Linked DNA regions of Xenopus tropicalis. The protein of the gene in region 7 interacts with the protein of the main gene of each other region in a biochemical or structural test. Links are inferred from orthologs where the notes say so. Each region holds a gene or a part of one and is shown on either strand. Other genes may lie near its edges. The genes, in order: creb1, hif1a, parp1, sp1, ddx17, npm1 and ep300.

Evidence for each region.
Region 1: the proteins of ep300 (region 7) and creb1 form a complex in vitro, tested with the Homo sapiens proteins (2 studies listed by BioGRID, with this or other methods). The link is inferred for Xenopus tropicalis from reciprocal best matches to the Homo sapiens genes EP300 and CREB1.
Region 2: the proteins of ep300 (region 7) and hif1a form a complex in vitro, tested with the Homo sapiens proteins (25 studies listed by BioGRID and IntAct, with this or other methods). The link is inferred for Xenopus tropicalis from reciprocal best matches to the Homo sapiens genes EP300 and HIF1A.
Region 3: the proteins of ep300 (region 7) and parp1 form a complex in vitro, tested with the Homo sapiens proteins (2 studies listed by BioGRID, with this or other methods). The link is inferred for Xenopus tropicalis from reciprocal best matches to the Homo sapiens genes EP300 and PARP1.
Region 4: the proteins of ep300 (region 7) and sp1 form a complex in vitro, tested with the Homo sapiens proteins (4 studies listed by BioGRID, with this or other methods). The link is inferred for Xenopus tropicalis from reciprocal best matches to the Homo sapiens genes EP300 and SP1.
Region 5: the proteins of ep300 (region 7) and ddx17 form a complex in vitro, tested with the Homo sapiens proteins (2 studies listed by BioGRID, with this or other methods). The link is inferred for Xenopus tropicalis from reciprocal best matches to the Homo sapiens genes EP300 and DDX17.
Region 6: the proteins of ep300 (region 7) and npm1 form a complex in vitro, tested with the Homo sapiens proteins (2 studies listed by BioGRID, with this or other methods). The link is inferred for Xenopus tropicalis from reciprocal best matches to the Homo sapiens genes EP300 and NPM1.

Annotation. Positions count from the first base shown.
Region 1 is NC_030685.2:49,782,972-49,787,395, forward strand, and holds the start of creb1 (cyclic AMP-responsive element-binding protein 1), read right to left. Parts: upstream 2,910-4,424; 5' UTR 2,776-2,909; intron 1-2,775.
Region 2 is NC_030684.2:101,984,918-101,989,153, forward strand, and holds the start of hif1a (hypoxia-inducible factor 1-alpha), read right to left. Parts: upstream 2,957-4,236; 5' UTR 2,597-2,956; coding exon 2,562-2,596; intron 1-2,561.
Region 3 is NC_030681.2:7,987,558-7,991,696, reverse strand, and holds the start of parp1 (poly [ADP-ribose] polymerase 1), read right to left. Parts: upstream 2,801-4,139; 5' UTR 2,687-2,800; coding exon 2,567-2,686; intron 1-2,566. UniProt on the Homo sapiens protein: Poly-ADP-ribosyltransferase that mediates poly-ADP-ribosylation of proteins and plays a key role in DNA repair.
Region 4 is NC_030678.2:146,984,197-146,988,593, forward strand, and holds the start of sp1 (transcription factor Sp1), read right to left. Parts: upstream 2,891-4,397; 5' UTR 2,842-2,890; coding exon 2,835-2,841; intron 2,528-2,834; exon of another isoform or gene 2,180-2,527; coding exon of another isoform or gene 2,080-2,179; intron 1,753-2,079; coding exon of another isoform or gene 1,750-1,752; coding exon 1,670-1,749; intron 1-1,669. UniProt on the Homo sapiens protein: Transcription factor that can activate or repress transcription in response to physiological and pathological stimuli.
Region 5 is NC_030680.2:120,521,863-120,525,751, forward strand, and holds the end of ddx17 (probable ATP-dependent RNA helicase DDX17), read left to right. Parts: intron 1-1,352; coding exon 1,353-1,586; intron 1,587-2,489; coding exon 2,490-2,905; 3' UTR 2,906-3,313; downstream 3,314-3,889. UniProt on the Homo sapiens protein: As an RNA helicase, unwinds RNA and alters RNA structures through ATP binding and hydrolysis.
Region 6 is NC_030679.2:20,062,141-20,066,389, reverse strand, and holds the start of npm1 (nucleophosmin), read right to left. Parts: upstream 2,817-4,249; 5' UTR 2,765-2,816; coding exon 2,704-2,764; intron 1-2,703. UniProt on the Homo sapiens protein: Involved in diverse cellular processes such as ribosome biogenesis, centrosome duplication, protein chaperoning, histone assembly, cell proliferation, and regulation of tumor suppressors p53/TP53 and ARF.
Region 7 is NC_030680.2:115,935,003-115,938,672, reverse strand, and holds part of ep300 (histone acetyltransferase p300), read left to right. Parts: intron 1-3,454; coding exon 3,455-3,670. UniProt on the Homo sapiens protein: Functions as a histone acetyltransferase and regulates transcription via chromatin remodeling. Acetylates all four core histones in nucleosomes. Histone acetylation gives an epigenetic tag for transcriptional activation.

The DNA.
Region 1 (4,424 bases), on a different chromosome or scaffold from region 7:
TTCTGTTCTATTTATGCAGATTTGCAGACCGTCCACAGCAAAATAAATACGCTTTACTTCTATACGGCAATGTGCTGTGTGAAAAGCAGCTCAACATTTCTGTGCTACTTTTGCACACTTATATATATGACATATCACAGGCCTTAAGACAGGGAAGCGTCTCATTATACAATATTTATTTCCTGCTATTTAGATTTATTTTATCTTATGGACAGACTGGGATTCACTCAGCAAAATATGCCAAAGGTATATACTAGAATTTGCCATACAAGACATTTCTCTATTATTATGTACTATAATAAAAGGCCACAGCTACAGGTTTTTAACAGCATTATTATACTAGGATGGGAGAGGTATGTGTCACCCTCATAGTGTTTCTATCAGTTTTGTTTTCCTTTTAGTAATCAAAATGAAAACCTGCAAAGCCCTTGCATAAAAAGAAAGTTTTCATCTAATGTATTATTAAAATGAAAACAACTTTGAAATATACCTCAGAGCTTAAGTGTATGATGATCTCTGCCTATTTATGAAAGTGTTCAATAACTAGAGTATAACGAAAAAAAAAAAAAAAATACGCATGCAGCTTATTTGGGGTTTCTGGAAAGGGGCTTTGAAAAGGCAGACTTACAGGAGAATGTTCAAAGTGTTGGGAAAAAAAAACAACCTATCCCGCCTAACAGGAAGTGACTGAATAAGCAAAACACAAATACAAAAAATAAAATGCAAGCATTTTTGTTTTTAACTTTATTGCATTTCAAGGGAAAAACAGCATTCTTATGGGGGGGAACCCTTTGAAATCCATCTATATGCACTGTAAAGTTTACTTGGTGTTTAAAAACATCTCTAAAGAAGTCTATAACTGTTTGCCATTAACCAAGAATATAAAACAGTATTCTAATTACTGAAATATTTAAGCCTTAAATTAAAATATCACAAATAAAGCCAAACTATGTTTGTCTGCATTCAAATTAAATCAATTAATATTTAAGCGATATCAGGTCACTTATAAATGTTAGAATTAACGAGCACACTAATATGTACCAACCCCCCTGAAGCCATGTTATAGGGTACCAGCAATGAAGTTTTAGCAAGTTTAATTGTGTGTAAATGAGTGCTTTGGGTATTCACATATTAGCCCCAAACGGACAAGCTAGAACTTGGGTCTCTAAATTGACCAATACAAATTACAGCTTTCTAGAACCTGGGGTCCTTAGCCCTCTACTTGGCAGAATGTTTGAGTACCACAAAAGTTGTGCTTTAATGCTTCCCTGCAATTACTAAGGTGATGTAGATTTCATACTTTTGAAGTCTAATCATACCTGACATACTTTAAATGCAGATCTGCATTAAGTAGACAATACTAAATAAAACAAAATGTAAAGATCTATTATAAACAAATTTTATTCTCACTGTCCAGATGTTTTCATCAAACAAAAAGTAATGAGCAAGCATGAGGGAAATAATGTGGAAGTTCAATAAGGGATTGCAGTGCAACAAAATATATGGACAAGAAAACCGTACCAGTCTTGGATGAAACATGGAAATCTCTGAAATGTTACAATCTTCATTTCTTCATGAAAAATGTGTCAAAATACATACACAGACTGCCAGAGAGACATTGGGGCCAATTCTGTTTTTAGAGCTTCAAACATTCAACACAGGATAAAAAAAACTGCAGAACAAGGGTCACATAAATATGAAGCTTTAAAAGCAGGATTAGTGGAACCTCCCTCTGGTAATCTTGGTCAAAGAGCTCACCCTCACCAGTCTACACTGACCCTTGATGCTGCTGTTACCCAACCAGTGGACAACTATTAAACCATGACTAGAAGGATGCCCGGGAGCTGGGGTAAGAATATACAGTAAAAAAATAAAAATATCTACCCATTGCTGCCAGAAGAGCAGACAGTTGGTGAACCCTGACGATCAGATATTTCAGGAACCCACTAACAATTCGAAATGAAGTCATGCTCAGCAAAAAGACCTGCCTGCTTTCCCTCTGTACCAACTAGCGAGCCACTCAAGTCCAACCTGCGGCCCTTCAGCTACTAATATGCAGCCCTCAGCTCATCCTGACAGGACCTTTAGTTCGACCCCGGCTGGAGTGCCGCAGGTAGGAGCATTGTTTATAAATAATAACCTAAGAGTCACGTTAAACTTTAAAAAGAAATTTAACTTTAAAAAGTAGTGTTAAAAAATATGGGAGGAAAAGAAGAATTCGTTCATCGCATCATGAATATTCCCCTTTGAATGAAGACTATATTGCGGGAAAACATGAACGATACTAGTCGCATGTATCTAACAAGCCACAAAAAAAAATATATATATACATACACACATATATAATATATATATATATATATATGTGTCGTGATAAGCACCGTTGACTGTCGCGACAGTGAAAGATTGCGGAGGTCTCCCCACCGGTGACCCCCTGTGGCTGTATCGCACACCCCAGCTCTTGCCGCCGCCGGCTGCCTCCTCCCGGCCGCCATTATCCTTTGTTTCGCGGCTCTTTATTTCACCCCCTCCGCACGGTCTCCATTTTTACTATGGCGGGGTAAACATTCTGTATTATCTAAGGGGGTAAAAAGGGGAACCATGACAGGCGGGAAAGCAAGCTCGAAGGAAAAGCCGGCGCGCTGTTCTTGGCAGCCCCCAGAAATCCCTCCCTACAATCAGTTGCCGCCTGGGTATTTGTGAAAGCAGCCGGCGGTGAGGCCTGCTCCATCTCTTTTCCTCCATGCCTCTCCCTCTCCTCCTCCTTCCTCTTACCGGGTTACACTGCCTCTCCTCCGTCACTGCTTTCGTTCGCGGCTGGGATCTCGCTGGGCTTTTTTTTATTCTCTTCCCCACCACGTAACACACCGCGTCAAACTACACCTCCGCCGCGTCACTGCTGCTCTTGCTCTCTCTTCTTCCTCTTGTGGTGGCGCTAGTTTTTTTTTTTCTTAAGCTCAGGCCCGGGCGCGGCGTCAGGGCGGCGGGCTCTTTTCCGACAGGACACTGAGGAAGGCCTCGACAGACTAGGCAGCCAACAGCAGAGGGCGGGGCGGAGCTAGCGCAGGGTGGAATCTGGGCAGGCGCAGAAGTTAGGCCTTAGTAAAACCTTTCTGCTGCAGTTGTACTACAGTTCCCAATACCCCTTTCCGACACTGTAAGCGGAAACCCGTGTATCTACTGATGCGACAACTTGCACAGGCTGCAGTAAAGCTACAGAGCTAACAGGCAGTTAAGGTTGGTGAGTGTGGGAATTATGAGAAACGGGCTTTGGTTACCCGCGGCGACCTTACCTGTGCTTTGGCTGCTTTGGCTGAATGAACAGTGCCGTTGTTGTGATTAAAGCTATCAGTTTAGTTTTCATGTTTTACAGGTTAGTCTGATAGTTTTATTACGATTCTAGAACAGATAACGTTACCCTGTCGCCCTTCTTCTTTTTAAATCGGAGCTGTTTCATGAAGTGCTTATGACGCTATAGTGTACTTGCCACCTTGAGTATTAGGTGGCCTGATGAAGGGGTTCGCCCCCGAAACGTTGCCTTGAATAAACACGCAGGGGTTATACCCCACTTGCACTTTACTTGTTGTGCCGGCTGAAATCATTTTTACTGGACTTTGCGGAGAGTGCGGACTCTCTGGGCCGTGCACCAAGTAGCTAACCTGTTGGAGGAGGTAAGGGTGTGCTGGTGTAACTATTTTTCCATTGCAACTTAAGGTTGCCATACGGGGCCAGATTTCAGATGCTAATTCTGTTCCTTAAGACCGACTCTGCAGCTTATTTGCCCCTGCATGGGACCCTCCGACAGAACCCCCCCAACAGATATCTGGCCAAAAATGATCCAGATGTTGATTGTACGTGCTTGATTTTTTGCAGGATCGGGGACTGCATTGGCTTATTGATGTGGTCCTTGATCTGGCTTTTCCTATCCCCTTCATTGCAATGTGATGGGGCACGATATCACCCACCCAAGGTAGGCATATCGGGTGAAAGATTTGCCCGTTTAGTGACCTTGCCATGTATGGCCAACTTTAAAGGAACAGTAACATCAAAATATGAAAGCATATTAAAGTAATTACAATATAATGCACTGTTGCCCTGCACTGGTATAACTGGTGTGTTTGCCTCAGAAAGACTATTATAGTTTATATAAGCAAAGCTGCTGTGTAGCCATGGGGGCAGCCATTCGAATGAGAAAAGGCACAGGTTACTTAGCAGATAACAGATAAAATGTGATTGTATTCTATAGAGTTTATTTGTTATCTGCTATGTAACCTGTGCCTTTTCTCCTTTTTTCCAGCTTGAATGGCTGCCCCCATGGCTACACAGCAGCTTATTTATATATAGACTATAGGAGCGTTCTGTAGCAAATACACCAGTTTTACCAGTGCAGGGCAACAGTACATTACATTTTAATTACTTTAAAA
Region 2 (4,236 bases), on a different chromosome or scaffold from region 7:
CCAAGTGCTGCAGCTCTAGTCAAACCAATACTTTTCATACACTGTACATTTTGTCCAAGGTATTAAGATTGCACCAAAAAAAAAAAAACCTACCAAAATGCCAAACAAAGCCAACTATTATACAAGCATTCAAACAACAGAAAGCTGTCACCTTAATTATACCCAGGCCAATTTTAATGCCAGTGTATCTTGGTTGCTTGTTAAAACTATCCAACTTCAAGCAAGAAACACGTTTACATGTAGTTGGGGGGGTTACCACTGAGCTTTCCTAACTTTTCCTACACTTTTCTAGTATTTATGCCTGTTTACATACAAGGTCCCTTCGACCCTGGAAAAATATACTGTAATTACCAATAAATCAGCCTGAATGGATATTAAATTAATATATCAACTCCTACTGCCTTGTGCATGCTGAGATTTGGTAACTGAATGCAATCCAACTATGGCCTCAAGCAGACCTCCAAATTCCAGGCAACTTCAAATGACTGCTTAAAGAGGACTGAATCAAACAGTACTAAAAAGCACACAGATTTTTTTCATCCGGACATACCTGTTCAGGGTCAAAGGCAAACGCCTTTGACCCTGACCTGTGTGCTCACAAACTACTTTAACAGTCACTGACTATCTAGGTTAGAGAAATGCAAAGGAGGAAGTTAAATTCTATTATGTTAGACATCTGCTCATGCCAGCCTTTCTTATTACATTTTTTCCCAACTGACTGTATTAAAAACATTTATTTACATTTTTGCATAGTCTGTTTGTTAAAAAAGTTAGCCAAAAAAAGTAATATATAGAGGCTGGAGTGAAAAGATGTATTAAATAAACACCAGAAAACTACTAACTCCTTTGCTTCTCTCTAACCTGTTAGCTAGTCAGCGACTGTCCAGTTAGTTTGACTTTGACCATGAGCAGGCAGGTCAGGATTAAAAGCACACAAACTGAACAGTGATGTCCCATGTGGCCCCCCTTCTAGTTGCTAACAGTTTAGAGTGATGCAAAGCAGGAAGCTAGATTCAGGCTATTACATTAGACATCCGCTCACCCCATCCTTTATAGATTACATTTTTAGCGAACCATAGTAAAAACATTTTTTTTTTTTTTTTATTTTGCACAGCCTATTCAGCCAGTGTTATTTTTACTTTGAACAGTTCCTTTAAGTATTGATTTATTCTCACTGTCTAATTTATGATAACTATAACCTTGGTTTGTGTTTATGACATGTAGAGCACTGTGTACATTGAAGCGATACAATGTGTAAATTCAATAAGATAAGAGGCAATTCTGGGTGTTCTATGAACTCCCAAGATAGATCAGGAGACTATGGCAATCACACAACTTTGAAGTTTAGAAACATCATCCGAGCCAGAAACATGGGTTTAGCTTACACAACATTTGGGTGAGGGAGACATACTACTCTTGCTCTAAATACATTACGGCAACTCAACATCACATGACTGACTGGCATAGTTATCACAATTCTCATGCCTTTACATATGACCTTACAAAGTTACAGTAAATAAAGGTTATACCCCACAAGTTAATATACTGCTATGGTGCTAAAATATGTGCATATCCTATGCCACAAACGACATGGAAGCAACTGAATATATTTTAACCCTGCTGAACGTGGCTCCTGTATGGATCAATAAACTGTCACCTATGTGAAAACGTATTTTTAACTGCCACCCTACAAAAGTTCCAGGACTATCTAATACACTTCTATTGTAAGCTCTTTTGGGCAGGGCTCTCCACCTTTTGTATTGGTTATTGATTGCTTTATATGTTACTCTGTATGTCCAATGTATGAAACCTACTTATTATACAGCGCTGCGGAATATGTTGGCGCTTTATACATAAATGTTAATGATAATAATAATAATCACCCCTGAGTTAGTATCACTAACATTTCCCACTCCCTGCAAATAGTGTCCTGACTAAATATTACGATCACAGAAAAAGTATGGTACAAATGTTTAGCAATGCTTAAACAAATTCTATGTATGTATATATACATACACACAGAATAATAGTTGTAAGTGGAGAATACATACATGAATGTGGTACATTGCTAGTTATAATCAGTTAAACAGAAATAACCGATATGAGAGGCCTTGGTGTGTGGGGCTGCCATTACACTCACAGCAGCCTGGCACTCGGCTCAGTATAAAAGCTGAAGCAAACAGGGAAGCAGCAGAAACTTAGGAAGTCTCGCACAAAATGGCGACGCAGAAGGTCCAGGAAGGGCAAACATTAGTACAGATGGGAAACAAATTAGTGTTGGAGTTGGAATGAAAACAACATTTGTTTAGTGGCGGCCCCTCCGGCTGTTAGCACACTCAGCCCCACAGCAGCCTCCACTGCTGCCCGGACTAACACAAGCGGCGTTGGCAGGCAGGCCCTGTGCTTCTCTGCTCAACCTGTGGCTCAGATCTACAACTCTGCCCTATGGAATCAATAGCTCATTCATTGCAATGGCCTGACTAAAGGAAAGGGTGTGAGGCCAGGGGTCTCGGACAGCGGAACAGCAGGTCAGAGGGCGCACACAGAGGCGGAGCACCCACCTTTTCTTGTCGCTCGCTACTACAGATCCCTCCATGCCAAGCGAGTGGGGGAGGGACGCTCCGGAGCTGTGTCAAGCGCCGAGGGTTTTGTCCTATGCACGCAGAAACCGAGGGCCCTACTGAAAGGGCTATTGTAATCCACAGGCGTGAGGCGCTCGCAAGGTCAGACCCCGACAACACCGGCAGGAACTCTTTTTTGACGCAATCCCTCCGCTCAATCCGACCGTACGATCGCGGTGTTTCTTTTTTTTCTCCCGGTTCGGCCGATGACTTCTAACTCAACGCAAACAAAACGCTTCGGGGAAAGTGCTTGCGTCACCGAGTGGGTGTGCAGTTCGAGCTGCCGCCGACGTAGATCGCAGCAGCCAATCAGTAGGCTCACACATGACCGAGCCCTCGGCGGCTTTGCCCTGCCCACTTTTCCCTGGTCTCGGTGGGAGGGGGGCGGAGGCCGATTTGTCGGATGAGCCTTAACCCACTCATGCCCAGTGCCAATAAATTTAATGTATAACTTTACAATGCAATGTCTGCTGCAAATAAGGGATTATATATTAAAATATTGTCCTTCCACTTTTGAGAACTCGTGTTGTCCTGACGTTTTTGTCTGAAAAAGTTTATTTGCACTGCTGACTAACTGCAGGAAAAGGATTGTCGTTGTAGAACTAGGATTTCAAAACTGCTCTTAAATGTCCGGTTTACTGGCAGTAGTGGGTGCGTGGTACAAATGGCATGCTGCTTTGCTGGGCTGAGTCCATATTAGACATTTTGTGCATCTGGGCCTCATTACAAGGTTCCGTTTCTCAGCCTGAAAACTATAGGCCTGCTGGTTTGACATCGACTAGCAAAGCTTTTGGAAGGGGTAATAAGGGAAAGAATACTTGAATGCAAAAAACAGTACGTTTTTGCCAGCATGGTTTTATACAGATCTTGACTAACTTAATTGCCTTTTATGAGGAGGTGAGCAGGAACTTCTACTCTGGAATGGCTGTGGATGTCATTTACTTGGACTTTGCTAAAGTGTTTGATACAGTACCACACAAAAAGTTAATGATAAAATTGAGGAATATTGGCCTAGAACATAATATTTGTAATTGGATAGAGAACTGGCTGAAGGATAGATTTACAAAGAGTGGTGGTAAATGGAACATTTTCTAATTGGGCCAGTGTGGTTAGTGGAGTACCGCAGGGGTCAGTCCTTGGTCCTTTGCTTTTTAACTTGTTTATTAATGACCTGGAGGAGGGCATAGACGGTACTGTTTCTATTTTTGCTGATAATACTAAATTGTGCAAAACACATGCAGGATGCAGGATCCTGCCACTTTGTAGAGTGATTTGATAAAATTGGAAAACCAGGCAGCAAAATGGAAAATGAGGTAGATAACAAGTTGTTTAATTCCAGGCAGTGTCATTCTGTGGCTACTAAAGCAAATAAAGTGCTGTCTTGTATAATAAAGAGAATTGACTCAAGGGATGATGCAGTCCTTAAGAAGGATATTAATGAGCTGGAGAGAGTGCAGAGACTGCAACTAAACTGGTAAAGGGGATGGAAGATTTAAGCTATGAGGTGAGACTGTTGAAGTTGGGGTTGTATTTTCTGGAAAAGAGGTGCTTGCGAGGGGACATGATTACTCTGTACAAGTACATTAGAGGGGATTATAGACAGATGGGGGTTGTT
Region 3 (4,139 bases), on a different chromosome or scaffold from region 7:
AACCTGCTAACACAAGAAATAAACCCAATAGAACTGTTCTGCCCCCAATAAGGGGTAATTATATCTTAGTTGGGATCAAGTACAGGTACTGTTTTATTATTACAGAGAAAAGGGAATCATTTAACCATTAAATAAACCCAATAGGGCTGTTCTGCCCCAATAAGGGGTAATTATATCTTAGTTGGGATCAAGTACAGGTACTGTTTTATTATTAAGGAGAAACCGGAAATCAATTTTAAAAATCTGAATTATTTGAATAAAATTGAGTATGGGATATAGTCTTTCCGTAATTTGGAGCTTTCTGGGTTTTCAGATAACTGATCCCATCCCTGTATATTAAAAGCAAAGTTCGATGTTCCAGACTGCAAAACAAAGCACAAGGCCACTTACTGAATTTTTCTTACTCGGGTGCATTAACTTCAGCCAAAATAGATACAATTCCCATACACAGAGAAAGAGGGGGTCTTGAATAAAGACCAAAGCAAAACTGTTTATCTGGACTGATGCCTAGAACTGTGCTTCAGTGTATGTACATCACTGCTGATCAAATCCAATGCAATCAGATGAGATCACTTTAGTCTGGTCTCCCCACCATCACCTGGCATGTATGTGGGGGGGCACTGGCTGACCAGTATGGGGGTACAGCTTATTGCGTGCCCAGAACATTCCTTCTCTGTATATTTGTATTTATACATATGGGTAGGGGGTGCCATAGTGTTTCCCTTAGACAGTACAGTATGGGGGTACAGCTTATTGTGTGCCCAGAACATTCCTTCTCTGTATATTTGTATTTATACATATGGGTAGGGGGTGCCATAGTGTTTCCCTTAGACAGTACAGTATGGGGGTACAGCTTATTGTGTGCCCAGAACATTCCTTCTCTGTATATTTGTATTTATACATATGGGTAGGGGGTGCCATAGTGTTTCCCTTAGACAGTACAGTATGGAGGGCATCATTTTGTGTGCCCAGAACATTCCTTCTCCGTATATTTGTATGTAGATAGGACTCAGCTGGAAATCCCTTACTGATACTACCTAGTTAGTCTCAGTTCAGCACAGTAATCATGAAGGAAGGGGGTGGGTGCTGCAGAGCCACAGGGGCTAATAAAGTGCCCAGTGTGACACCAGCCTTTGTTATCTAGTAGAGACAATTGCCCCGGCTCCCCCCTGGGTTCTGAGCTGCTCGGTATGTATATAGCCTTACAATGGGCCCCCGGCACTGTAAAGTCTTGTAAATACAGGCCAATGGCAGCCTCTGGGAACACGGGGCAAATATTCCTCTTGCTGTGCAGCTCTACGGTGGGTGTGTAAACATCCAGAATTGCCCTGGCTTCTCCCTGGGGGAGGGGTTTGGGCAGATACAGAAACAAACTGTATATAGGATCCGCCTTCTTATTCCCAGTATTGGTACCATGTTACCCCATTCTGGGAGAAAGACCAACAATTTGCCCTGGTTCTTTCCCTTAACTTCCCTGGCTTGCCAACAGAATACCCCAACACAGGGCAATAACAGCCCATCACTGGGGCAATTACCTACTATACATCACAAACCTACCGTTTGACAACAGTCCCCATTCAGGGGCAACAAGCCCCCCTACAACTCATTACTGCCCTATACCTGAACTCAAAAGTACCCCAGCTGGGGCACTTACCTAGAGCATGTTATCCATTGGCTTTCACAACATACCTTAACCTGGGGCAATAACCTTCCATGACACCCCACCTTAGGACCCGTATTCACAATAATAACCCACTGGGCTGGAGGGGGCACTTTCCTATACCCCATTACTAGGGCAATTAGCCCAGGGCTAATAACTTACAAACTGCCCATGCTGTATGAGCCACACTAGCCTCCCCATAGGCAATAATGGCCCATACTGTATGAGCCACACTAGCCTCCCCATAGGCAATAATGGCCCATGCTGTATGAGCCACACTAGCCCCCCATAGGCAATAATGGCCCATACTGTATGAGCCACACTAGCCCCCCATAGGCAATAATGGCCCATACTGTATGAGCCACACTAGCCTCCCCATAGGCAATAATGGCCCATACTGTATGAGCCACACTAGCCCCCCATAGGCAATAATGGCCCATACTGTATGAGCCACACTAGCCCCCCCCATAGGCAATAATGGCCCATGCTGTATGAGCCACACTAGCCTCCCCATAGGCAATAATGGCCCATACTGTATGAGCCACACTAGCCCCCCATAGGCAATAATGGCCCATACTGTATGAGCCACACTAGCCCCCCCATAGGCAATAATGGCCCATACTGTATGAGCCACACTAGCCCCCCCATAGGCAATAATGGCCCATACTGTATGAGCCACACTAGCCTCCCCATAGGCAATAATGGCCCATGCTGTATGAGCCACACTAGCCTCCCCATAGGCAATAATGGCCCATACTGTATGAGCCACACTAGCCCCCCATAGGCAATAATGGCCCATACTGTATGAGCCACACTAGCCCCCCCATAGGCAATAATGGCCCATACTGTATGAGCCACACTAGCCCCCCCATAGGCAATAATGCTGCAGCCCAGCCGGGCCCCTACCTGCACCATGAGGGCAAGCCGCAGGGACTCCTTGGCGATGTTGTCTCCGCATTTCTTACAGGAGGCGCGGCCGCTCTTGGCGTACTCAGCCCGATAAAGTTTCTCCGAGGCCTCGGCCATGGCTGCAGGGAGGAGCGGCTCCTACACACAGGGACACTCCGGCTCCCACTGGAACAGCGTGCAGCCCCAAGCCCGCCACACAACAGAACAGGCACAAGCAATCACCGCCAGAGTGCGCGTCTGGGCCGCTTTGCTTCCTGGCATCCGGGGAACGGCAATCCATTGCCCATGTCTGGGCAGGGAGGGCGTGGCCCCAGCACACTTAGTGACGTCACTTTCCCTAGCTTATCTGTGTGTCTGTGTGAGAATTGTGAGGAATGTTTGTTTGTGTGAGGAATGTGTGTCTGTGTGAGGCAAAGTATTATGTAAGGATAATAACAAGGCGTCAGATTTGTGTCTTGTGACTATATGGGCACAGAACCCCTCAGTGACTGCTAATATCCTTATCATTTACAGTAGGGGGTACATTATCCCTTATAATACATGAGTGATACTCAGAGTTCCCTGTATAACTCAGCCTGCAGCCTTGTGCCTTTATATGGGGGGCACAGAACCCCTCAGTGACTGCTAATATCCTTATCATTTACAGTAGGGGGTACATTATCCCTTATAGCACATGAGTGATACTCAGAGTTCCCTGTATAACTCAGCCTGCAGCCTTGTGCCTTTATATGGGGGGCACAGAACCCCTCAGTGACTGCTAATATCCTTATCATTTACAGTAGGGGGTACATTATCCCTTATAATACATGAGTGATACTCAGAGTTCCCTGTATAACTCAGCCTGCAGCCTTGTGCCTTTATATGGGCACAGAACCCCTCAGTGACTGCTAATATCCTTATCATTTACAGTAGGGGGTACATTATCCCTTATAATACATGAGTGATACTCAGAGTTCCCTGTATAACTCAGCCTGCAGCCTTGTGCCTTTATATGGGGGGCACAGAACCCCTCAGTGACTGCTAATATCCTTATCATTTACAGTAGGGGGTACATTATCCCTTATAATACATGAGTGATACTCAGAGTTCCCTGTATAACTCAGCCTGCAGCCTTGTGCCTTTATATGGGGGGCACAGAACCCCTCAGTGACTGCTAATATCCTTATCATTTACAGTAGGGGGTACATTATCCCTTATAATACATGAGTGATACTCAGAGTTCCCTGTATAACTCAGCCTGCAGCCTTGTGCCTTTATATGGGCACAGAACCCCTCAGTGACTGCTAATATCCTTATCATTTACAGTAGGGGGTACATTACCCCCTATAATACATGAGTGATACTCAGAGTTCCCTGTATAACTCAGCCTGCAGCCTTGTGCCTTTATATGGGGGCAGGGCCGCCATCAGAAATCACGGGGCCCCTCACAACAAGATTTTCTGGGCCCCCCCTCCTCCCACACTCCCAATGGCCCCTCCCCCAGTGACCCCTCCCATCAATACAAAGGACATACAGACATTGGTAGCCAGGGCCCCCCTAAAACATTGGTGGCCAGGGGTTACATTTTACA
Region 4 (4,397 bases), on a different chromosome or scaffold from region 7:
CCATAGGTTAGACAGTGCTGCACAGGGAAGATATATGAATGTCACACACACATAAAAAAAAGATAAGGTCATAAATGTACTGAGGAATGACACACAGAAAGATGGTAGAAAGAGTGACCACCTTACAGGAGAAGGCAGGCCAATGCACCATATGCTACGTGTGGCATTAGCCTTAGCTTACCCCAATGTTAGTGAGAGAGGTAATGGTGCAGGTGGGTCATTGCCCAGGCATGTTAGTGTGCATTCCCAGGAAAAACACACAGTATTACTTATTTTACATTAAAATAATAAATATAATGGAAAGTCAATAATGGAAGAAAATTTGTTGTCAAAAAAAAAAAAAACAAACAGCTTTGAATGGGACCTATTACCCTGAATGCATGGACCTAGGTTTAAGGGATTTGAGTAATTTGCATCACTATACAAAACACAAAAGAATTGTTTTGCCCCAGATTTATGCAGCTAAGATACTATCGATTACAAGCTACTGTTTTATTACAGAGAAAAGGGAAATCATTTTTATAAATTAGTATTATTAGCATAATATCACATCGAATTGCTTTCCCCACATCCTGGTGCAGGCTAATAGAGCCCGCACTCTGGTTGGGGGAAACACACACACATATAATATATATATATATGTGTGTGTGTGTGTGCTGCTCCTACGTCACACATTTGCGCACAATGAGTGAGGAGTCTTGCTCATTATGCACATGCACGCTAAATAACATGGCCGCCCGTGGGGGCTGTTTAAAAAAAAAAACCTATTGTTTTCCAGAATGCGGGCTCTAAAGCCTACACCTCTGGTGGCGGGAAGAAACTAAATGGTGATAGGTGCCCTTTAAACTTAGTTCTATGATGGTCTGCAAGCAATTTAGAGCTTTCTGGATAAGGGATTCTATAGCTGTAGCACTCTATTACATATACATGGTTCAGCGTTGGGAAGATATCCAACATCATCAGTTGGGGGCGCCACCTCCTGCGATGGCCTAAGACAGCACAAGCTGCAGAGATAACCATGCCTAGGTGGGTGTTGGTACAAAGACAGTACTACCCACAATGGAATAAACTGGGTGTGTGCTGTAAGTGATATTTTATTGTTGCACAATAGCAAAAATAACACTCAGTGAAATTTAGTGGAGCATTGCCTTTCCAGCCTTTGCTACAAATCTGAGCAGATTTAACCCTAACTGCCATTTACACTCGGCCCCCACCAGCCGAAGCAGCAGATGCAGTTGCTGAATTTAATTAAAAATGTAGCTGCCAATAAGATGCAAGACTGAACGTGAATGTCAATTTAACCCTTCTACGGCTATGTCCTAGGTGCCATTTGCAGTATTAGCAACAGCACAAAGAGTGCCAGCATGTAAACAAACCAGCATGTCAAGGAGACAGCCAGAGAGAGAACAGGAGGGACAGGGCTGGGGGGAAGGGTTTCTGGGGCCTGCCCCAAGTGGGCAGTCAGGAACAGGGGGTGGGAGGTTTGCCAGCCAAAGGGTGGGAGGACAGCAGCCATTCTCAAAGAGAAAGGAGGAAAAAAAAAAAGGCCTCAGCCCCCCTCCCCCATGCTCATCCAGTGTACAGGCAGCCAAGGCGAGAGGGCTGGATAGTTCCCAGGCATGGTCCCTGCCTATCTGTGTATAATGCAATATGGGTGGGTTCCGCTTACCTGCCCCTTCTGGATGTATCCACCTCCTGTCCGGTTTTCGGACTTTATCGTAGGCATGTCATCGGACGTGTGCTCCTGATCTGCTGTCAGCGAAGGGCACAAGCACAGAGAGAGAGTGTGTGAGTGAGGGCAGTGAGTAAACATGCACACACAGGCTTACAACATGGCCGGCCCTACTTCCCTGAGAAACACAAACCCCTCAGCTTAGAAACAGACTGCTGAACTACAACTCTCACAAACCTCTCAATACTGGAAGTGAAGAGACTCACAAACATGTTTCCCATCTATCAGCCTAGATAGCCTTAGCAGCACTGTTGTGGAACTACAACTCCCACAACCCTCTGTAGAGGAGTACGTTCTAGAAGTAAAATGATTTACAAATAAATATAAATGGTCTACATAGGCTTCACCTGCGAGTAATGGCAACTCCAGAGGCAAACTACAACTCCCAGCGGCCCCGTTCAGCAGGTTAATGAAGGGATCTACCGGATGAAGGTCCCTCCCATCCATACGATGTCAGTGAAACTGCCCGAGCTGAGGGCGGATAATGGTTTCAGGGGAACTACAGATACCCCACAGCTACGGATACTGGGAGTGTTTGGGCGCCAGAGGGGCAGATATCCCCAGTGTGAGGCAAGGATTGCTCTGGGCAGGGGGGGCTACAGAAGGAGGGCCGCAGGCTTCACATTATAGGCGAAGGCAACGGGTTCCGGGGAACATTTTAGGGTCACGTATTGCCCTTTCCCTGTGTCACGAAAAGTACCGGCTACCATGCTAGGAGGGGCGGGGGGCAATTTTACAATTCTACCCCACCCACCGAAGGGGGCAGAAAAACAGGGCGGGAGAGGAGGACAGCAGGGAGGGGTTCTACCGCCACAACCACCTCTCCAGTTATAGGGAAAAGTAAAAAGGGGGCGAGGAAGGAGAACGAACGAAGTAGTGAGGGCGGATATGACTTTATTTCTACACCCCCGCCTCCTCCTCCGGTGGTACCGGCCGCTCTCAGCATTCCGCCAGCGAGTCATGGCGCGCAGCAAAAAGCCCACAAAGTGGCCAGGGGGAGCGATCCCTCACACAAGCTGCGTGCGAGCAAGCCAGGAGGGGCTCTGGGATAAGCTTGCGAACCCGCGTTACCTCCCGCCCTTATGCCCACTCTCCTGCTTACCGCTCATGTTGTTTCTGGGGCCGTAGGTACTTCACACAAACCTCGGCTGACGATGGCAACCTAACCTGGCTGCCGCGCGGCGGAGACGGTGAGTAGGCGGGGCTACGGGCGGAGATCGACAGACCGCCTAACCACTCCCGCCGAGGGGCGGCTCCACCCGCCCAATGGGGTGGCGCGGTGGGTGCAGTTAGCTGGAGACTGACAGAGAAGGCTGACCAATTAGAGGTGGAGTGACCCCGCCCAGCCACGGAGGCGGTGTGTGATGGGGGAGGGAGATGAAAGAATGTGGCGGGGGTGGTGGCTCTCTAGTCTGAACCCTTCCCAAGGTTAGAGTGACACTGAAAAGGGCCAATCATAATCGAACGAAGTCCAAGGCGTTTCATTAAGTGACGAATCATACGAGAAAAGCAAGCAATTGAAGAGCTGTGTGAGGAGGGGAAGGGAAATTAAAGTTTGACTGGTCGTTGTAGGGTTTGGGCGCCATTTGCTGGAATTGCAGAATGTCGCTCTTTAATTATTTAGAATAACTGGCCACAGCTATTAAAGTATTCGTTTTTATTCGGCATCAGCCTACGTGCAAATAGGAAGCAAGATGGCAGCAGTCGGAGTTGCGACTGAGTGGCTACGTGACTAAAGGGGCCGCATTATCTGTAATACAGAGAGGGAATGATGGACGGGTCGTGCATAGAAAATAGCAGGTTTAGAATAAATATCAGAGTTACAACAATAAAAAAAAGTGACATAGGTTACATAAAGCCGAGCACAATATATAAGGCTTATTTTCTTTATTGGGCCACTTCTTCCAAATTGATATCAATAATTATTAAGCAGCCAGTCCAGTAAAGCATTGTCAGTCCTATCATTAATAGAAATATATTGCTCAATAAAAAATGAATGCCTTTTCTTGAGAAAACAGTCCTGGCTGTATTTATTAGATTGTAAGGGCTCTGGCACACGGGGAGATTAGTCGCCCGCGACAAAACTCCCTGTTCGCGGGCGACTAATCTCCCCGAGTTGCCTTCCCCTGCAAATCGGCGAAAAAGCCTCGCGAGGCAACTTCGGCGATTTGTGCTAAATCGCGCCGCCGCGTGTGCCATCCCACCGGCGACTTACATTTTCGCCGGTGGGATGGCAGGGGAAGGCAGCTCGGGGAAATTAGTCGCCCGCGAACAGGAAGTTTTGTCGTGGGCGACTAATCTCCCCATGTGCCAGAGCCCTAAAGGTGTAACTGAGTCCATCACCATTAAGCTTCCATTTTATAGTACAGTTTGCTGATGCTTCCATGTAGCTCAATTCCCATATTGCTTGAGGCAAAACGACATAGGGGCACATTTACAAAAGCGTGAACACTCCGAGCGTATTTTCGCCGATTTTTTCGGGCGTCCGCACGACTTTTTCAGACGTTTGCACGAAAAAATCATAAAGGTTTTACCACTGTTTACAATTGTTCGGTACGAAAATTTCGCAACTTTCGGATCGCCAATACGATATTATCGTGACTAATACGATTTTTTCGTAAGCATTTTCGTGATATTTGCGATCTTCCGAAATTTTCGTTTCCAA
Region 5 (3,889 bases), about 4.6 Mb from region 7:
GCCTTATTGAATAGAAGGACCACCTTTCTAGAAGGGAGATCACACAGATGCTTCCCACTATGCCATCTGCTGGGCAACTGTTGGGAAGTCTTTTGGCTGTCAAAGCAGAAGAATAGCCCTTCTGCCCTTCTTCAGACCTTTTGTGGCTACTTCCTAAACTGTTTAGTTCCTCCTTTCTCCCTGCCTGCACATGCAGGATGTGGCAGTGTGCGTGACTTCCCATTCTGTCATGGAGAACATAAGAAAGTGAGCGCCCTAGAAACCTGTCATTTCCTTTTAACACACTAAACTAATGGACAGAGCAAAAATTTAATTTGTTCATCCTATTGGTTTCAAAGTTATTCTTCCCTCCTAAATAGTGGAACTTTGTTCTCCCATTTTTTCCTTTTTTTAAATTAATATTATGCTGTAAATTAGCCAAACCTGCAGTTCTTGTGAGTGACCTTTCTGTAATAAGAAACAGACATTTATCCAAACTTCCCTTTTGGTAAAATCTGATAATTAGCAGCTTTGTCCACATCCACCTTTCAAAGATTTTAATAACTTTATTGATGGCAGATGGTGAGTGTTGGAGGATGGGGTCTCTCTTCGCCCATTGACAGGTTCACAAACTTGGACTTGGGAGAAGGGCTCCCCCACAGAAGTATCTCGCTCAACCAGTGCACCTGTTGGGACCTCTTGCTGCGCCTGGACCGTTGATGCATGCTCCCTGCTCCAGTGGCCCCTTATCCAAGGATGAAGGGCGGCGACACCGCCATGAGCCAAAAAGACGGGATTGGCGACTGCTGTTTCCCTACCTCACTGAGGGAGTGTGCATCGGTCCGGACACCAGCTCTTCTGAGGAAGAATCCCACTAAGTTTAATTTAAATTATTTATGGTTTTTAGTGCTTTAATGGTTTTCTCTTTTAGCTTTAGGATTTTAACTGGTTCAGTGTCAGTCATCTCATATCTGATGTGTTCAGTTTGGGCATTATATTAGTTACAGTTTATGGAATAGCTCTCTGAACTATATTGTCAGTGAATTTATCTTCAATGTTTTCTAACATAATTGTGACTGGTAAATAGTATTATGCATCTTTGCATATGAAGCCCTAATCCATCTGAAATGGTCAATATTCTGATTTCTAATTTAAGACTTCAGATAAGAACCAAGATAAAGGCAGCTTTAGCTTTTGGAACAGAAATTACAGGGAATCACAGTTTGCCTAGACACTCTAAGCTTTAGTCACTGAAGTGTAGTAGAAATCAGAAATAGTTTGAGGCAAGATTTTTCTACATTTACTAACTTTAATCTTTGTCACTCTTCTGGCGTGTGTATTTCCTACACGTCAATTTCCCACTCAATTTTTAGATGTGGAGGATATCAAGTTCGTCATTAATTATGACTACCCAAACAGCTCTGAAGACTACGTACATCGCATTGGCCGTACTGCCCGTAGTACTAACAAAGGCACAGCTTACACCTTCTTCACACCTGGTAACCTCAAACAAGCCAGAGAACTGGTAAAAGTTCTAGAAGAAGCAAATCAAACAATCAACCCTAAACTAATGCAGCTGGTGGACCATGGCCGTGGCGGTGGTGGAGGTAGGTCATTGCCCTGAGGTTTGTGTACAGTATATAACTAAATGTGATGGTTGGATTTGAAGTTGTCTTTAAGTAACAAGTGTTAAAAATCTTAACTACTTATTAATTTAAATGTACTCTTCCACCCTGAGTAGCAGAGTGTAAGGGAGGGGTGGCTGGTATAAAGAGCAGTATACAGCTTTCACCTCTGCCTTAGGACAAACGCAGCTCACAATTAAAATCTTAAATTATATTTAGATAACAAGTGTGTGCTGGGACATGCATAAAGCAATATATCAATACAAAGGAGACTACCCAACAATTCTGGGCATGTGTGGCCTGCTTAAAGCAGTTTGGCCTATTTCAACTTTACTGACTGACCATCTAGATGTGTATGTCAGTTGAGGGATGAGCTTTTGACAATCCTGTGATCCTGATGGATGGCAGATGAAATCTGTCCTGAAGATTTAGAGCTAAGCTACACAGGAGATGTAGAATGGTGGCAGGTTGGCTGATTACATCCTTGCATAGGTCAAAATATAATGGGACTGATAACAAAATCTGATGTGTAATGTATATGGCAGATTTGTCATCCGGCAGGGCACTCCACTGCAAGTTGTGTCCGACAAGGTAAAATCTGATAGTGTCTAAAAGACTTTGTTGGTTTTCTTCGTCAATGTAGATGCGTTAACAAAACGCACCATCTTACTTCTGATTTGACTTACATTACAGCAGGAGGGATCAGATTGTGTAGCATCCCACTTTTGCTGATAAACAATGTTGGCAGGTGCATTGGAAGCTGAAGAAAGTTCTTAAACTATTCCTCTTTAGGTCTCTTCTTTCTGTAATGTGTAAACAAATGTATTTCTTTACTGTTTTCCTGTGTTTAAACCATATGTTAAAAACTGCTCTAAATCTCTCTAGGTGGCCGATCCAGATATCGCAGCATTCCCACAAATAACAATCCAAATATGATGTACCAGGAAGAGTGTAACAGAAGAATGCATGGTAAAGATGGAGGAAGACGTGATGGGAGGAACAATAACCGCGATGGTGCTATTTCTAACAATCCAACCGGGCGAGATCAGAACCGGCCAAATTACAGCTACGGTGGCCAGGTTTCCAATTTCCAACCCAACCAATACAGCTACGGACAGGGTGGCTTCACAGGAGTAGCTAACAATTATGGCACAGCAGCATATGCCCAGGCACCGCAGCCACTGATGTCACAGCAGTTTGCCCCACCTAGCTCCTCTGGCCTATTGAACTATATGAACCAGGCAGCCAGTTATCAGTATCCCCCTCCTCCTCCACCACCACCTCCACCTACACGTAAATGAGTTCTTCAGCCTTTTTATCTTTTAGCCTGTGTTACCAGTTGATGTAATACACAATTTCCCTCAGTAAGCTTTATGTTTTGTTGCATTTTGTTTTTCCTTTATCTTGATCACAGCAATGTTTGGGAATTAGACTTTTCCAATCTTTGAAGCTGTTCTTTAAAGTTAGTGTTCAGGATTCTATGTGCTTTGTTCTGGCAGTAGCCTTAAGATGACTTGATGTATTTGCAGGGCTTTTCGGTTTTTTTTTTTTGTTTTTTTTTACCTGTTTTGTTTTTTTTTTTTTTTTTTGCCAGAAAGTTTTGAAAGCTACTGTGGCTGCTTTTTTCCTTTTTTTTATTACTCCTGAGTTATTCCAGGTAGGTAAAATTCCAGACTGTCAAGCATCATTCCTCCCTTATTTCCCTGTCACCAAGACTTTTTTCTCTGTATTTATAATTCCCTTGATTGGTGTATAATCCTCCTTTCTTCTGGGGGTGGGGGACATCTACAGTGTTATGCCTCTCCTAAATACATTGACCCTCCCACTATATAGACACTATTTTGGCATTTTTGTTGCCATGTGTGACAAAGACAAAGGTAGGTTCTTTTAACAAGCATTAATAAGTTCACATTAGTTAGATTTATTTTTCATGGCAGGTTGTCTGTACCTCTCATCTCACTGTTATTTCAGCTTCTGTGTTTTGTGTTATAGTTGCATTTCTCTCAGGTGTAATTTTGTTTTTCAGTTACAGATAATGCCCCATACCTTTAAATAATGTTACCATTCTAGTTTGCTGGAGTGGTTATTACATTTTTAAAATTCATTTCTCTAAATTGTCATGAGAACCATCTGACACCATTTTGTAGATAATAAATTTTTTTTTAAAAAAAAAGTCACCATGTGTACCATTGTTTTATTAGAGTGGTGCTTTTATTGATCTCGCTGTAATATTTAAAGCATAACATTCAAATGTTCTGGCTATCTGTCAACTCTATTCTCACCAG
Region 6 (4,249 bases), on a different chromosome or scaffold from region 7:
CATATTTTACCTTAGATTGTAAGCTCTTTCAGACAGAGCCCTCTACCTCTTGCATGGGCTAACTGCTTTATATGTACATCTTTCTACCTATTGAAGAACTCACTTTTACAATGCATTGCCCTTTGTACCTCCATGCATCGTCAAATAGTGATTAAAGTCCCCTCTACTGTAAAAAAAAAAAAAAAAAAATACATGTAGGGACCTATAGGGTTAACATGCCCCTATGGCTTTAAACCCTGCAGCTTCCTTGGCTTGTGCAGTTACTGGGCAAAGACCCATGTATCAGTTTAGAGTTTTGCATATGTGCCTTATTGGTTACCAGGGAGACCACTCCCTTGGCACACTGATATAGTGCTTAGCAGGGGGGTGTGGCTTTCTCTTTGGCTCCATCTGCTGACCCAGGTGGAAGTTCCACTGAGCCTGGGATCAACAGGGACCCAGTAAAGTGATTACCGTAGAGTCTGCATCGACTCTAGAGAAGTCAGTGACAGGGACCCTGTGAATGAGGACCAGTTAGATAGCATGTTGTGTTGAGCACTTTCTAGGAAAGCGAGATAGTGAGGGAAGGAAGCAAGGGCAGTTTGGCTCCACCAAATAAAGTAGTTTTGGAAGTACACTTCCAGACAGGCACTGTTGCCTTAGCGTAGGGCCACGGTTAAGGGCTCTCCCAGTGTGCCAGAGCCCTTAGACATAGAAGGCAGGCAGTATCAGAACCCTTATCCAGAGTTGCTGTGGGAGCCTGAGGGCTAGAGGTGTTCAACCTGAGGAGTGTGGTATCCAATCTGACTGTTCCAAAGGGTGGATAAACTGAACCAGTGGCACGGACCCTGGCCAGACTCAAGAGGAGTTGTGAGGAATGGATGTGCACCCTCTGTGCTGTCTGCAGAGAAATGCTATGCTAAACTGCTGTGAGTATATTACACTTACCCTGCATATTGATATATAACCATGCATATCTCTAACAATAAACTGATTCTATTGTTCAACTGCAAGAACCTTCTGGCTCTCATTTGTTATTCTGAACTGCACACAGCTACAGTGGGTTGTAGTTGCACTACACCATAGCTCGGTTTGGTCCCTTCTACATAGTTGGCTGGGTTACAGCCAAAAAAAGTGTTACATGTGTTATAAATCAGACATTCCATAGCCCAACTCCAAGGTGACTTCGAATATCCTCATTTTACAACAGTGGGTACTTTATTACAATACACAAGTTTATGCAAGTCATGTGACAAATTACATGAACAGGCACCATTTATAAAGATATCTTTTATGGGATATTTATGGCACTTGTGTGTATTTTTTTTTTATTTATTTTGAAACACATGTACGGGATCCCTTATCCGGAAACCTGTTATCCAGAAAGCTCCAAATTACAGAAAGCCTGTCTCCAATAGACTCCATTTTAATCAAAGTTCAGAATTTTAAAACAGATTTCCTTTCTCTCTGTAATAAAACAGTACCTTGTAATTGTTCCCAAAATATAATTAATCCTTATTGAATTCAAAACAATCCTATTGGGTTTAATTAATGTTTTATTGATTTTTTTAGTGGATTTAAGGTACGGAGATCTAAATTACAGAAAGACCCCTTATCCAGAATACCCTTGGTCCTGAGCATTCTGGATAACAGGAGATAGATATAGGTAGATATATTCTCTATAGATAGATACAGAGATAGGTTCTCTATAGAGAACCTGAGATATATCTCTGTATCTATCTATCTATCTATCTATCGAGAATATATCTACCTATATCTATCTATCTCCTGTTATCCAGAATGCTCAGGACCAAGGGTATTCTGGATAAGGGGTCTTTCTGTAATTTAGATCTCCATACGTTAAATACACTAAAAAAATCAACAAAACATTAATTAAACCCAATAGGATTGTTTTGCATTCAATAAGGATTAATTATATCTTGGGATCAATTACAAGGTACTATTTTATTACAGAGAAAAAGGAAATTAGTTTTAAAATTCTTAACTATTTGATTAGATAGATAGATATATCTATCTAGACTATTTTATATATATCTATATATATTTAACTCTTCCTTCCTGATGATAAGTGCAGAGGTAAGAATGGCAGCTCCAGCTGATAGGCACATGGCTATTTACACGTGGAGATATTGAAACAATGGCACATGTTACAGGGAGTTGTAGCTAAATAGGAGCTGTACAATGTATGTTAGATATTGATGGGTGCAGGGAGTTGTAGCTAACAGAACCTGCAGGTGGTATTATAGATATAGGTGGTATTATAGATGATAAACTGGAGCAATATTGGCTTCAAAGTTTAGGATAACTCTGGGTAGGGAGGTAATATGAAGGAGAGATGGAGGCGGAAGCAGTTAAAGAGCATTCATTTGGTGCAGCTTGTACCTGGGGGAGGGAGAAGGAATCTATATTCCACATAATGTGGTAGTGGTAGCAGGAGGGGAGCCATAGAAAGGCAAAGGGCAGCAGCAATGAATCCATGCTTTCGGCTCCTGCGCCCAGGAGCAGTCTAACCGTGAGGAAGGAGCGGGGACATTCCAACAAAAGCCCGGGACAGCGGGCTGAGTGACGCAAAACTGGGCTGTCCCGTTAAAAGCAGGACACCGGGGAGCCATGAACAAGTCAGCGGAACGTGTGACGTCTATATAATATTTCCCAAAAAAAACCCGTGGCCGAGTTTCAAAACCCCTGGTACTGTATACATACCAAAGAGAAAATTCTGAGGGCGCAGGGGAGCAATGCTATCCATATCCATGGAGTCTTCCATTTTGTTCCAATTCAATTCAGATGTACCCCCTCTACTCTACAGCGGCACGGACGGATTCTGAGAACTAATGGCGCGCAACGTGTCTCTATATGTACGGGCCTTTTTCTCGCGAGATTTCACGCCATAGAAAGGCGGGGCTATTTTCCCTCAAACAAGTAACGCAGTTTACGATTGGCTAAACACGTTCTGCTGTGAGGTATGTGATTGCGCAAAACGAGCTGTGGGTTTATAGGAATTTAACGTGACCCACCATGTGCTTGTTTGTAAGATAATGGCAAGGAGTTCACGTTGTGTAGGCCTGTGTCCATAGCAGAGATTGTTAAAGGGGATCTCTATCCCTGAACTCTTTTTGTGTATAATTAATGTAATAATTAATTTTAGTAACGTTCTCATATGCGGGCTTTAGACATGTTTACTGGTTTTAAACTGCTTTTGATATAATATGGAAAGTGAGATACTAGTCTGAGGCAGTGCCTTTTCTGCTATGGGTGTGGCTTTGATTATAGGCCACTTTTACTTTTTACACTAATTTCAGCCTAGCAAAATAAATGTGGAATGGTTTTAAAAAGAAAAAAATGGATCTGAAAGGTGTATTTAATGCCAATCAAATTATTTAATGTCAATTAAAAATGTTCATATACATAGGGACCTTAAGGTCCCCATACATGGGCCGATAGAAGCTGCCGATATCGGTCCCTTGGACCGACTCGTCAGCTTATCGGCCCGTGTAGGGGCAGAAACGAGCGGACTGGCCGACCAATATCTGGCCTGAAATTGGCCAGATATCGGTCGGCCAGGTTAGAAAATCCCGTCGGTTCGGGGACCGCATCGGCTCGTTGATGCGGTCCCCGAACCGTATGCCCCATTGCCGCGTGCAGAATTCGATCATTTGGCCCTCACCTACATGCCTCCCCGATATCGCCACCCGTAGGTGGGGATATCGGGTGAAGATCCGCTCGCTTGACGACATCGCCAAGCGAGCGGATCTTCCTGTGTATGGCCACCTTTAGCCTTTTTATTTCCATTCAGGAAACATGTTAGCCCTTTCATTGGGGTTTAAGAAAGATCTGTTAGCCCTTTTATTGGGAGCCACATAGGGGTTCAGGAAACCTCTGTATTTTCAGATGATCTCTCCTAAACAAGCTGCATTTATATGAGAGATTGTACCCCTATTTAAAGTGCGATACAGCACACACATTAATATACTTTAGAATATAAAATCTTCCATCTCCTTTACCAGTTTAGTTGCAGTCTCTGCACTCTCTCCAGCTCATTAATATCCTTCTTAAGGACTGGAGCCCAAAACTGCACTGCATACTCAAGGTGAGGCCTTACCAGGGACCTATAAAGAGGCAAAATTATGTTCTCATCCCTTGAGTCAATGCCCTTTTTTATACAAGACAGCACTTTATTTGCTTTAGTAGCCACAGAATGACATTGCCAGGAATTACACCGCTTGCTATCCAGTAATGTATCAGCCCTGTC
Region 7 (3,670 bases):
GAAATGGCTTTGGCTATGGTTCTTAGTTACAGGGAAGGCAAAACTGAAGGCTACAGGGTACAATGATGATTTTGACAATTGCATACGTCCTGATGCTATTCCCAAAACAAAATTAGTTTGCTGTTATGGGAGTGGAAGAAACGGACTGGTGTGCAGACTGGACTCTACATGCTTTTGATTCTATAGTGCATTTTGTATTAACTTGTCCTGTTGAATCATAGTGTAAACATAAACTTTTCATTAGGACTGTAAGATCATTTTGTCTGGGGAGGTACACAGGGGGCTACACATTATACAATGGTTTGGTTTTACTATATTAATTAATTGCTCTAAGTTGCATTTTAAAATACAATGTGTCTTTAGGTATGGTGTAAATGGGCCAAAAAAAGAGTATAAGACTATAGAAAGGGCAAATATTGTAGGAAAACTAGTCATGCATTTTATGTGTAATGGCTATACATTTTGAATTCTCAATACAGTAGTAAAATACTTGCCAGTTACATATTCCCCAGGTTCAAGGGATGGCTGATAAAACAGCCAGATGAAAACTGAATTTTGCTACGTTTTGACAGTTGGCACTAAAGGACAAAGTGATATTATATGTTTTACATAGTGTACATTAGGTTTAAAAAGACAAATGTCCATTAAGTTCAACCTTTTATGCCTATATATAACCTACCTAACTGCAATGCTTCCAATTTCAATTTTTTATTTACAGATAATTGAAGTCATAGAAAATGTTTAGTGTACATTGGAAAATAGCTTAAAATGATGCTTCCTTTCAACCACCAAGATATTTTGAAAGGAGTTACTGGATAAATGAAAAAACATAATGTATGGGTTGTAGCAAACATTGCAGTTTGAAACAAAGTCTTAAGTTATGTTATATTTAACACATTGTCTTTAAATATCACAGGTCTGCTATTAGACTGGCAGATATTTTGTTGTTCATGGCTACAATATTATGTACAGATTTTGGTTTGGTCACTTAGTCAGGTATTCCTGAATGTGCTCTTTTTTTACTGGTTAGATACATTTTCAGTGTGCAGTGATTTTTGCTTGTAAATATTCTTGTGTACACTTAAAAGCTATCATTCATTTTTCAGTGCAAAAGTGGTTTAAAACATCACTTATAACAAAATATGGATTTGCACATAATCTCTAGGAAAGGCTGTCTCCCAAAGAATCCATTATAATCAAATAATTTTAATTTTTAAAAATGATTCCCTTTTTCTCTGTAATAATAAAACAGTACTTTGTACTTGATCCCAACTAGAATATAATTAATCCTCGTTGGAGGCAAAACAATCCAAATTACAGAAAGATCCCTTATCCAGAAAACCCCAGGTCTCAAGCATTCTGGATTATAGATCCCATACCTGTGTATGCAAAGGAATTATATCCCTTTTCTCATTTACTAAAACGCCCAATATTCTTGCATCATGGGAATATTTGAAAAGAGAACTGTTTTGGAGCAGGTTTCTTACTTTGCAGTGATCAGATTTTCTTGGGGCATCTATTCCTGCAAGTTGATTATAATCAACTGTATCTGCTTCCTACTGGAATACCTTAAAACTGTGGCTCCCAGATTATGGGAATAAGTATCACTGTTTAATATTGCATTTATTTTACATCCCCTTTTTTTAATTGATCTTTAATGTAGTGGTCAGATTAATATGTGGAGTGCTTCTTTTTAGACTTGGCTAAAAGCAGAAAAATAACACAGCTCAAATAACTTATTGGCTCAGATTTGATATCCACTATGCTGAGAGAATACTGTAGAGTTGTCTGTTTTGCATAGTGTACGCGTTGTGTGGTTTTCAAAGAGCACTGGCCTTCTAACTAGTATACAAAATTAGCAATAATTTGCATGTGGCAAAATATATCTAATATTTCCAGATAAATGCATACTGCATCTATATTTAGGTTAGTTACAATACCATTTTGGTAATTATACAGACAATATGTCTGGGGGTGGTAACATAGATATACAAATGCAGCGTGATGCTAATTTTTATAAATCCTTGACAAAAGATGAGCAATAAGTGAATATGTTCTTCCTAATATGACTTCCCTGAATAATAATGCAGGTTTAGTTTCCAAAAAAATGTATAATAAATTGTATTTAGTGTAACAAAATCTGTTCATTTCAGTAAGTTTGCATCCTGGGCATAGCAAATGTTTTAGTATGTCATAGAATGGCCAATTCTAAGCAACTTTTCAACTGGTTTGAACTTCTTTATTTTTTTTTTTATAGTTTTTAAATTTTGTCATTCTCTGCCTCTTTCCAACTTTCTGTTCTGTGAGGCTACAGTTTTATTATTGTTACTTTTTATTTATTTACTTTCTGTTTAGGCCCTCTCCCATAAATATTTCAGTTTCTCATTTAATCTACCCCCTCGTTGCTAAGGTAAGTTGGACCCTAGCAACCAGATAACTGCTGAAATTCTAAACTGGTGAGCTGCTGGACAAATAGTTAAATGATAATTAAAATCGCAAATAAGAAAAAATGAAAACCAATTAGATTGTGTCAGAATATTACTCTCTACATCATACTAAAAGTTAACTCAATAGGTGAACAAAATCTTTAAGCATCTTCGGTTTTTCTGTCTTTGAGAGTCAAACATGAACACATGAAAACTTTCTTTTCATGTTCATCTCCCGATGTCTTTTAGTCCACAGAAAACAGTGTAATTAGGTTATTAAAAAATATTCTAAAGATTGCCTTACATGCAAAAGTGGCAAATAGTAACGGGTAACTATGGTATGTTATTCTGTGCTGCATGAGCAATTGCCTTCTGATACAAATGTTTAATTCATCTTGGGCCGGTACATGGAGTAGCTGGGTACACTCTCCAAACTATTGGCCCACAGGCTGAATGGACAGAGAGCTTACAAGGGGCCATACAAGGTATGGCTGCCTTTCTAGTGTTCTGATTATTCGTGCAAGGACCACAACTGATAGGCTAACATGCTGCATCTGTAATTAATATTTTCTAAACAGTTCTACAGTGCTGCGGAATATTTTGGTTCTTTATAAATGTGAAAAAAAATTATCGCCATTCATAATCGCTTTTTTTCTGTTCAGTCCCCACTTGACTGTCCAACCTTTAGCCAGGGCGCCTGCTTAACTTGTGCAATGAGTGCAGATACAGGAAAATATCATTGGGTCATTCATATTTTCAGGAATATCCAATTATTCACCCCAGCTCTCACTAACTCTTCACTAGGCATTGAGGTGTATCTAGAATAGCAAATGGCCTTTCACCCCAGTTTTCACCCTAATTGGTTTTCAGGCTGAGCCGCCATGCATAAACCTTGCTGAAAGCCTAACCACCAGAATGAACAAACAAGCTTCCCTTGCAAAGTTTTGCTGATTCTCTTGAGTAGTATTATGTTTTTCCCATTTTAATTCCAGTAGCATTAACTGATAATTTTTATTTTTTCTTGTTAGATTTTGGGTCTCTGTTCGACTTGGAACAGGATTTACCGGATGAGTTGATTAACTCAAGTGAGTTTGGTCTGACTAATGGTGGAGATCTCAGTCAGCTACACAACAGCATGAATATGGTGCCTGATGCAGCTGCCAAGCATAAGCAGCTTTCTGAGCTCTTGCGTGGTGGAACCACCTCAAACATGAGCATGGGCCTTGGGCAACAAACATCACAAA